Linked DNA regions of Macaca mulatta. The protein of the gene in region 1 interacts with the protein of each later gene in a pairwise test. Links are inferred from orthologs where the notes say so. Each region holds a gene or a part of one and is shown on either strand. Other genes may lie near its edges.

Region 1 (3,806 bases):
CAGGCGCCACCACGCATCAGCCCATCGTATCCCTGTCGTCTGTCTTTCCCATCCCCAGCCTCGTTTCCCTCCTGGAGGGTGAGATGACCCTTTGGAGGACCCTGGCTCCCCCACCTTCCCCTCTGCCACATGTCTGCTAGTGACCTCCACTAGAGATGGAATTCCAAGTCGGGTCCCTGCAGTCCAAGGACTGGGAAACGGCAGACAGCTGCCTCCCCTAGGCCTTGGTAGTGTTTCTGAAAGGATTCACCTGCTCTCTGGTGGGGGTGGGCTGTGAGTAGTCACTGGGGCAGTGGGGCAGTGGAGTGGCATTGCTTGACTCTTGCCCCATTTGTGACGGCATGTGCTGATCCCTTGAATGGAGTGTGGTACTGGGCCATTGGGTCGAGTCTAGAGGGAGACGGGGACTGTGACTTTGTCTGCAGCTCAGCATTGCCAAGAAACATGATCCACTGCTCCGGGAGTTCCAGGAGGGCCGCCTGCTCTTCCCACCCACCTACAAGTTTGATAGGAACTCCAACGACTATGACACCAGGTGAGGAGGAAGCGGGGCCAGAAGGTCTAAGAAGTCAGGTTACATTGGCCCTGCTGGCATGGGCACTGTCTCAGAATAGAAGTGTTAGGGGCCGGGAAGCCGTGTAGCCATCTCCTCTCCAGAGTGGCGCCTCCTGTCCACTTCATGAGGCACTGACTGGGGGAGCCGTCCCAGATCTCAGCGAGAGTGGGAGGGAACGCCAGTGCCGGCAAAGGCAGGAGAGGTGTGTGGGGGGTGGGGGTGTTATAGGTAGAACTAGAGGAGAGGGTGGAGCAGCCGCCTCCTGACCTAGGAGGGACTGCACGTCAGCTTCTGGAAACCCCAGACCTTCTGGTCCCCAAACAGGGCAGAAAGCTTGGGCCAACCAGTTACTGGTATTAAGGACCCTTGCCCCAGCCCGTGGGTGGGTCAGGTTCTGTGTGAGAAGGTGAAGTAGTGGGTAGAGAATTTCATCAGGATCAGTGAGATCATGAGTCTGGTGGTTAAAAGCACAGCTCTGTCTGACTTTAGACAAAGTGTTAGGCCTCGTTTTGTCATCTATAAAGTGTGGATGACACAGCAGACACCTCATGAGGCTGAGGATTGAAGAAGGCTGGCACCGAGTAACCATGGGAGAGAACTGCTATTGTGACTTTTAGATTCATGCCGGCTGGGCGTGGTAGCTCACGTCTGTAATCCCAGCACTTTGGGAGGCCAAGGCAGGTGGATCACTTAAGGTCAGGAGTTCCAGACCAGCCTGACCAACATGGTGAAACCCCATCTCTACTAAAACTTCAAAAATTAGCCGGATATGGTAGCGTGCGCCTGTAGTCCCAGCTACTCAAGAGGCTGAGGCAGGAGAATCGCTTGAACCCGGGAGGCGGAGGTTGCAGTGAGCCGAGATCTCACCACTGCACTCCAGTCTGGGTGACAGGCAAGACTCTGTCTCAAAAAAATAATTATAAAATAAATAGATTCATGTCTTCCCATCATAGATTTACTAAAAACCTTTCTAAGAAGCTGAGAAGGGGCCAAGTAACCATCAAAACCTGAGAAAGAACTTCTGGCAACATGTCCCTGACCCAGTTTGGGGCAAGGACCCTCATCTCTTTGAAGAAAGGAAGAGCCCCTTACATGTCATGAGGGTCTTTGTCCCAGCGGGAGCGGCTCGTTCATTCTCCGAGCGGGAGTGTGTCTGTGAGGGAGGCGGGAGGTGCCAGCAGGGCAGCCCAGGCCTTTGGGATTTAGCCAGTGCAGGACAAGAGGTAGAACTCAAGCTTGGTTCTGGAAGTGGTACAGCAAAGCCAAAATATCCTTGCCAAGGAAAGGGGGAAAGAGCGAGCTGACTGAGCAGTGTGGAGCAAGATAGGGTAGGGTTGTGAGCAGGGCCGTCCAGACAAGAGGAGGCAGCAGACGCTGGGGACGGGACCCACCCTGGGCAACAGAGCAGGCAGGAAAGGAGGTAAGAGGCCAGGCTGCGACAGGCTGGCCGGCCCAGACCGACAGCTGCAGGGAGACTGCCAGTCTCTGCAGCCATCCATTAGAAACAAGAGTCATGGTGGGAGCTGTAAGGACAGGCTGGGGCCTTGGGTGGGGAGAGGTTGCTTGAAGCCAGGAGTTCAAGACCCACCTGGGCAACATGGTTAGACCCTATCTCTACAAAAATTTAAAAATCAGCTGAGTGGGATATGCCTGTAGTCCCAACTACTCAGGAAACCTGAGGCAGGAGGATCACTTGAGCCCAGGAGTTAAAGGCTGCAGTGAGCTGAGATTGACCCACTGCACTCCAGCTGGGCAACCCTGTCTCAAAAAAAAAAAAAAAAAAATTCCTCTTTAAACACTTGCCAGCAGGAAGAGAGGTGCTGGCAGGCCCTATGGCCAGGTGGCCCCTTCTCCCAGCCCTGTGCCAGAGAGGTCTCCAGGAGACTGAAGTTTGTTGAAAAAGCTGGGTCTGGGCTGGAGTTGACAGGGTCTAAAAGGGTAGTGAGCTTTGGAGAAGTTCAAGGACTTCCCCAGGGAGCTCACCCAGTGAGTGGCAGAGCTGGGGCTCAGACTGATCTCTGAATCTATAGCCCACAGTGCTTTCGTCAAGCCCATTGTGCGTCAGGATTCATGGTCATCCTTGCCAGCAACAGCAAAAAGGATGGCACGGTGAGGAAGGCAGACTCCTGCTAAGGAGGAGGCACACACCTATTTCCAAATAACAGCTCACCGTGATTGGCGGACAGGCGTGCACCCAGGCTTTGCCTGTGTCAGTTCTTATCATGTCCTCTTTAGGTAGACAGTGTCACTATTGACTGTTTACACAGAAGGCAACTGAGTCTCAAAGAATATATAAGTAAGGAGCAGTAGACTTCATCACTGCATGAGGATTGGAACTCATATCTGTGTCTGTCGACTCATGAGCCTTCAGTACTTCCCTTTGGCTGGAGCCCAGGAAATGCAAGAATGTCCGGGCAAGAACAGGGGACATGGTAACTGAAATACTTCTGGCTGGGGCCAGGGTCCAGAGGCAGCTGGGAGTTCCTGCAGTGAGCAGGGCCTGAGCCCACCTGGGGCAGAGACATTCCTATCTAATGAAACTGTTATTTTATCCTTGAAAACCCAGTTGAGACATCACTTTTCCTAGGACGCCTTCCCCCATCTCACTGAGAGTTCCTTTCCTGCCCTGTGCCGCTCCCAGCCTTGCACACGCCATGCTCTCAGTGTTGCTTTTAAGCAACACTGTACCTTTTAAGCAACAGTGTACCTTTCTTACTGTACTGTGATGGCCCAGAGAGCAGAGACGATCTGATTTAGGACCATCCCTGGGAGTAGCACAGTGCCTGGCATATGTTACCAAGTCTGGGAATTAGTCAGTAGAAGGTTTCCAGAACTGCGTGCAGAAGGTTGGAGCAAATGTTAAGGAGGCGGACAGCTAACGCTAGGAGAGGCCTGTCAGACTTCCTGTCAGGAGAGTATCTTGAAGGAAGCACAGAGTTTGGCAGAAAGCAGAGGGCAGGCTTTCCAGTCAGACAGCACACTGACCAGAGGCACCTGCAGGGGCCGGTCTGATGAAGTGACCGAGCATGAGTGTGCTGGGCCAGCGACTACAGTGTTCCCAAGCCAAGATGTAATGAGAGGCTAGCTCCCTTATAGGGGAGGGCGAAAGGGCTGAGGGCAGGGTGGGAATCCTGCTAAAGTCCCGGATTACACTGGAGTTTTATTACAGTTGCCACTATGAGCCCAAACTGTTTTATTTTTTCCAGACAGAGTTTCCCTCTTGTTGCCCAGGCTGGAGTGTAACGGCATG
Region 2 (4,270 bases), on another chromosome or scaffold:
CCAATATTGTCCTGGCTGGTATCAAACTCCTGGCACAACTGGCCATACAATTGCTGAAGTCAGAAACCTGCTTGTTTTCTTGTCAGTCTTCTTTTCTTTTCTTTCTTTTGACATGGAGTCTTGCTTTGTCACCCAGGCTGGAGTGCAGTGGCGTGATCTCAGCTCACTGCAACCTCTGCCTCCCGGTTCAAGCGATTCTCCTGCTTCAGCCTCCTGAGTAGCTGGGATTACAGGTGCATGCCACCATGCCCAGCTAATTTTTGTATTTTTAGTAGAGACAGGATTTCACCATGTTGGCCAGGCTGGTCTCAAACTCCTGACCTTGTGATCCACCTGCCTTGGCCTCCCAAAGTGCTGGTATTACAGGTGTGAGCAGCCACGCCCGGCCTCTTGTCAGTCTATTTCTATTCCTCCTCCTCCTTGTAAATCAATCACCAAGTTATGTTCACTGGACCTCCTAAATATATCGAGTTACCCAATTATCTCCACCCCACTGTGACTACCCTAGCAGTTTAGGCTGCTTTCATCAAGTACTCAGGTAATTGCACTACCTCTAACTGGTATCCCTGCCTCCTCTCTTATCCTCTCTGTAATCCAATCTCTACCCTGCAGCCAGGGTAGAGATTATAAGATGTAAATTTAATCATGCCACTCTCCTACTTAAACCTTTCAAAGCTTCCCCATCTGACTACAGGATCAAGTCCAAACTCTCACATGGCTTACACAGTCCTGCCATGATCTGGCTCCTGTTGTTCACTACAGCCTTAACTCTTTATAATATGAACTCTTTTCATTCCTTGAACAGAGTATGCTCTTGTCTCAAGGTCTCCTGGAGCACTGGGCCCTCCTCTTTACCTTGCTGACTTATCCTACAGGTCACAGCTTCACACATTTCTTCTGGGACCACTCCTTCCCAGCCCCTACCCTCTCTGGGTCAGGCACCCTTGTTTTTCACTTCCACACCCCGTGTAAACCCTTCTGTATAATTCATCACATTGTATGGTATCTACAGGCAGTGAACCCCTTGAGTACAGGGTCCGCGCCTGGCTTGTTCTCCGCTGAGTCTCCAGCACCTAGGACAGGGCCTGGCACGAAGTAGGTGCACAGTGAGTAGTGAATGCTGGAGTGAATGGATGCGTGAGGGTTGGTGTCTTTTGGAAAGCAGCGCTCATTGGCTGAGAACGCCTGGGTTCTTGCTGGGCAAGGGTTAGGCGTATATTTGCCAGGGTGTTAAGGAAGGAACGGAGGGATCAAATCCCAACTCCACTTAGCCTCCCCAACACTGCCGTGGCGCCGCGCCTTTTTTCCGGCCCAACTGAACCGGAAGTGGAGGCGCGGGCTTCCCATGATGCCCCGCGGGACCTTTATTCTAACCGCAAGGAGTAAGGGGAGGAGGTCGTGATGGCGGCGCCGGAGGCGGAGGTTCTGTCCCCAGCCTCAGTCCCTGGTAAGGCGTGGGGCCCAGAGTTTGGGAAGCCTTAGGGACCCGTTTCTTCCCTACCTCCGCGCCCTCCATTTATCCCTTGGTCCTCTCCCTAGCCCATCTTCCCTGTCTTCCGGGTGTCCTACAAGGCTCTAGCTGTGACTCCATCGCCGTGGGTCGCACTGGACCCTGCTTGACTACACTTTTGACTCATTTCCCCAGATCAAGTCCCGCTGCTTTCTGAGCGGGGAGCCCTAGTTACTACCTCCGAAATACCCCCACTATCTTTCAGTCAATTAAATCTCCTCAGGCAACAGGGATCAGGAATCTCTCCCTGCCACGGCCCACACTGTAGGCTGCGGAGGGTATGGGCGTATGTCGGAGTGCCTGCTTTCTCAGGGTGGCTGGTTTGGTGGCCACAGGGAATGAGAAGACTGACTTTGGCTTTTAGGTTTTAAATTTTTCTCTCTTGTCCCTCTTTTCATCTACCAGATTTGGAGTGGTATGAGAAGTCAGAAGAAACTCACGCCTCCCAGATAGAACTGCTTGAGACAAGCTCTACCCAGGAACCTCTCAACCCTTCGGAGCCCTTTTGCCCAAGAGACTGCATAGTACCAGTGGTGTTTCCTGGGCCTGTAAGCCAGGAAGGCTGCTGTCAGTTTACTTGTGAACTTCTAAAGCATATCATGTACCAACGCCAGCAACTCCCTCTGCCCTATGAACAGCTTAAGAACTTTTACCGAAAACCTTCTCCCCAGGTAGGCACAGGCTTTGGGAGCAAGTTGGTGGGAAGACTTTGTGGCTCTTAGATGGGAGGCAGGTAGAAAGGGGGTCTAAGAAATCTTCAGAGCCTGAGAGACTAAGCAGCTTCCAGGGCTTCAGTCACTTTCTCCCCATTCTAGTCTTTGGTAGCCTAACCCTTCTGGCTTTTTCTCCTGTTCTTTCTTTCTGAAACTCGTGTTGCATTTGGTCTTAATGAACTGGCTCTTCGCATTTTTTTCTTTTGAGACAGAGTCTCGCTCTGTTGCCCAGGCTGGAGTGCAGTGGTGAGATCTTGGCTCACTGCAATCTCCCCCTCCTGGGTTCAAGGGATTCTCCTGCCTCAGCCTCCTGAGTTGCTAGGATTACAGGCTCCCGCCACCACACCCAGCTAATTTTTGTATTTTATGTTTTGAGACAGAGTCTTGCTCTGTTGCCCAGGCTGGAATGCAATGGCGTGATCTCTGCTCACTGCAACCTCTGCCTCCCAGGTTCAAGCGATTCTTGTGCTTCAGCCTCCCCAGTAGCTAAGAGCACGTGCCACCATGCCCGGTTTATTTTTGTATTTTTGGTACAGATGGAGTTTCACCATGTTGGCCAGGCTAGTCTCGAACTCCTGACCTCAAGTGATCTGCCCGCCTTGGCCTCTCCCAAAATGCTGGGATTACAGGCGTGAAATACTGCGCCCGGCCTGCATGTTTCTTTTTAATAGCATCCTGTTGTTGAATTTCTGTATGAACTTTTTTTTGCTTTGTTGTTTTTTTTTTTTTTGAGATGGAGTCTCACTTTGTCACCCAGGCTGGAGGAGAGTGGCACTATCGCAGATCACTGCAACCTCAGTCTCCCAGGTTCAAGTGATTCTCCTGCCTCAGCCTCCCAAGTAGCTGGGATTACAGGCATGCACCACCACACCTGGCTAATTTTGTTTGTTTGTTTGTTTTTGATAGGGAGTTTCATTCTTGTCACCCAGGCTGGAGTGCAGTGGCGCCATCTCGGCTCACTGCAACCTCTGTCTCCCAGGTTCAGGCGCTTCTCCTGTCTCAGCCTCCTAAGTAGCTGGGATTATAGGCATGCGCCGCCATGTCCAAATAATTTTTGTATTTTTAGTATAGACAGGGTTTCACCATGTTGGCCAGGCTGGTCTCGAACTCCTGACCTCAGGTGATCTGCCTGCCTCAGCCTCCCAAAGTGCTGGGATTACAGGCATGAGCCACCATGCCCAGCCTGTTTGTTTTCTGAGACAGAGTCTCGCTCTGTTGCCCAGGCTGGAGTGCAGTGGAGCGATTTTGGCTCACTGCAACCTCCACCTTCTGGGTTCCAAGCGATTCTCCTGCCTCAGCCTCCCAAGTAGCTGGGATTACAGGTGTGTACCACCACACCCAGTTAAATTTTGTATTTTTAGTGGAGACGGGGTATCGCCATTTTGGCTAAGCTGCTCTCAAACTCTGACCTCAAGTGATCTGCCCATCTTGGCCTCCCAAAGTGCTGGGATTACAGGTGTGAGCCACCACGCCTGGCTTACCCAGCTAATTTTTGTTTTTTTAGTAGAAACGGAGTTTCACCATGTTGGCCAGGCTGGTCCCAAACTCTTGACCTCAGGTGATCCACCTGCCTCAGTCTCCCGAAGTGGTGTTGGGATTACAGGTGTGAGCCACCGCACCAGGCCATGAACTTCTTTTGCCTGAGGATATTATTTAATTTTTGAAGTTTTTCTTTGTTCTTTGCGGCATCTCAGTTTCTTCTAGAATCCATTCTCCATTTGTTTTGTTCTGGTCTTTGACTTTCATGTTGGAGAATTTTATTGTGTCTGGTGAATATTTAAGAACAAATCACTGCAAGCTCTGTGTGCATGCCTGGGCCTTATGAGCTTATAGACTTCACTATAAGGAGATTAGGTGGCAACCTGGTGATCTCTTTGGGGGGATTCCTTAAACATAGTATTGGAAAGTCTTCCCTCTGGATGGGGGAGAAATTTGGCAGATGATCTAAGCATCTTGACACAGATTTTCATTCATTTCCCCTATATTCATTCTTGCCTCTGTGGTGCCTGTATCACCACTTCCTAAACCTTTCTGGGGTTCTGCTGTG

Evidence for each region.
Region 2: the proteins of INPP5K (region 1) and MAD2L1BP interact in binary tests that used the Homo sapiens proteins (3 or more experiments, as listed by UniProt). The link is inferred for Macaca mulatta from reciprocal best matches to the Homo sapiens genes INPP5K and MAD2L1BP.

Annotation. Positions count from the first base shown.
Region 1 is NC_133421.1:3,055,521-3,059,326, reverse strand, and holds part of INPP5K (inositol polyphosphate 5-phosphatase K), read left to right. Parts: intron 1-425; coding exon 426-535; intron 536-3,806. UniProt on the Homo sapiens protein: Inositol 5-phosphatase which acts on inositol 1,4,5-trisphosphate, inositol 1,3,4,5-tetrakisphosphate, phosphatidylinositol 4,5-bisphosphate and phosphatidylinositol 3,4,5-trisphosphate.
Region 2 is NC_133409.1:138,483,162-138,487,431, reverse strand, and holds the start of MAD2L1BP (MAD2L1-binding protein), read left to right. Parts: upstream 1-1,382; 5' UTR 1,383-1,401; coding exon 1,402-1,447; intron 1,448-1,915; coding exon 1,916-2,181; intron 2,182-4,270. UniProt on the Homo sapiens protein: May function to silence the spindle checkpoint and allow mitosis to proceed through anaphase by binding MAD2L1 after it has become dissociated from the MAD2L1-CDC20 complex.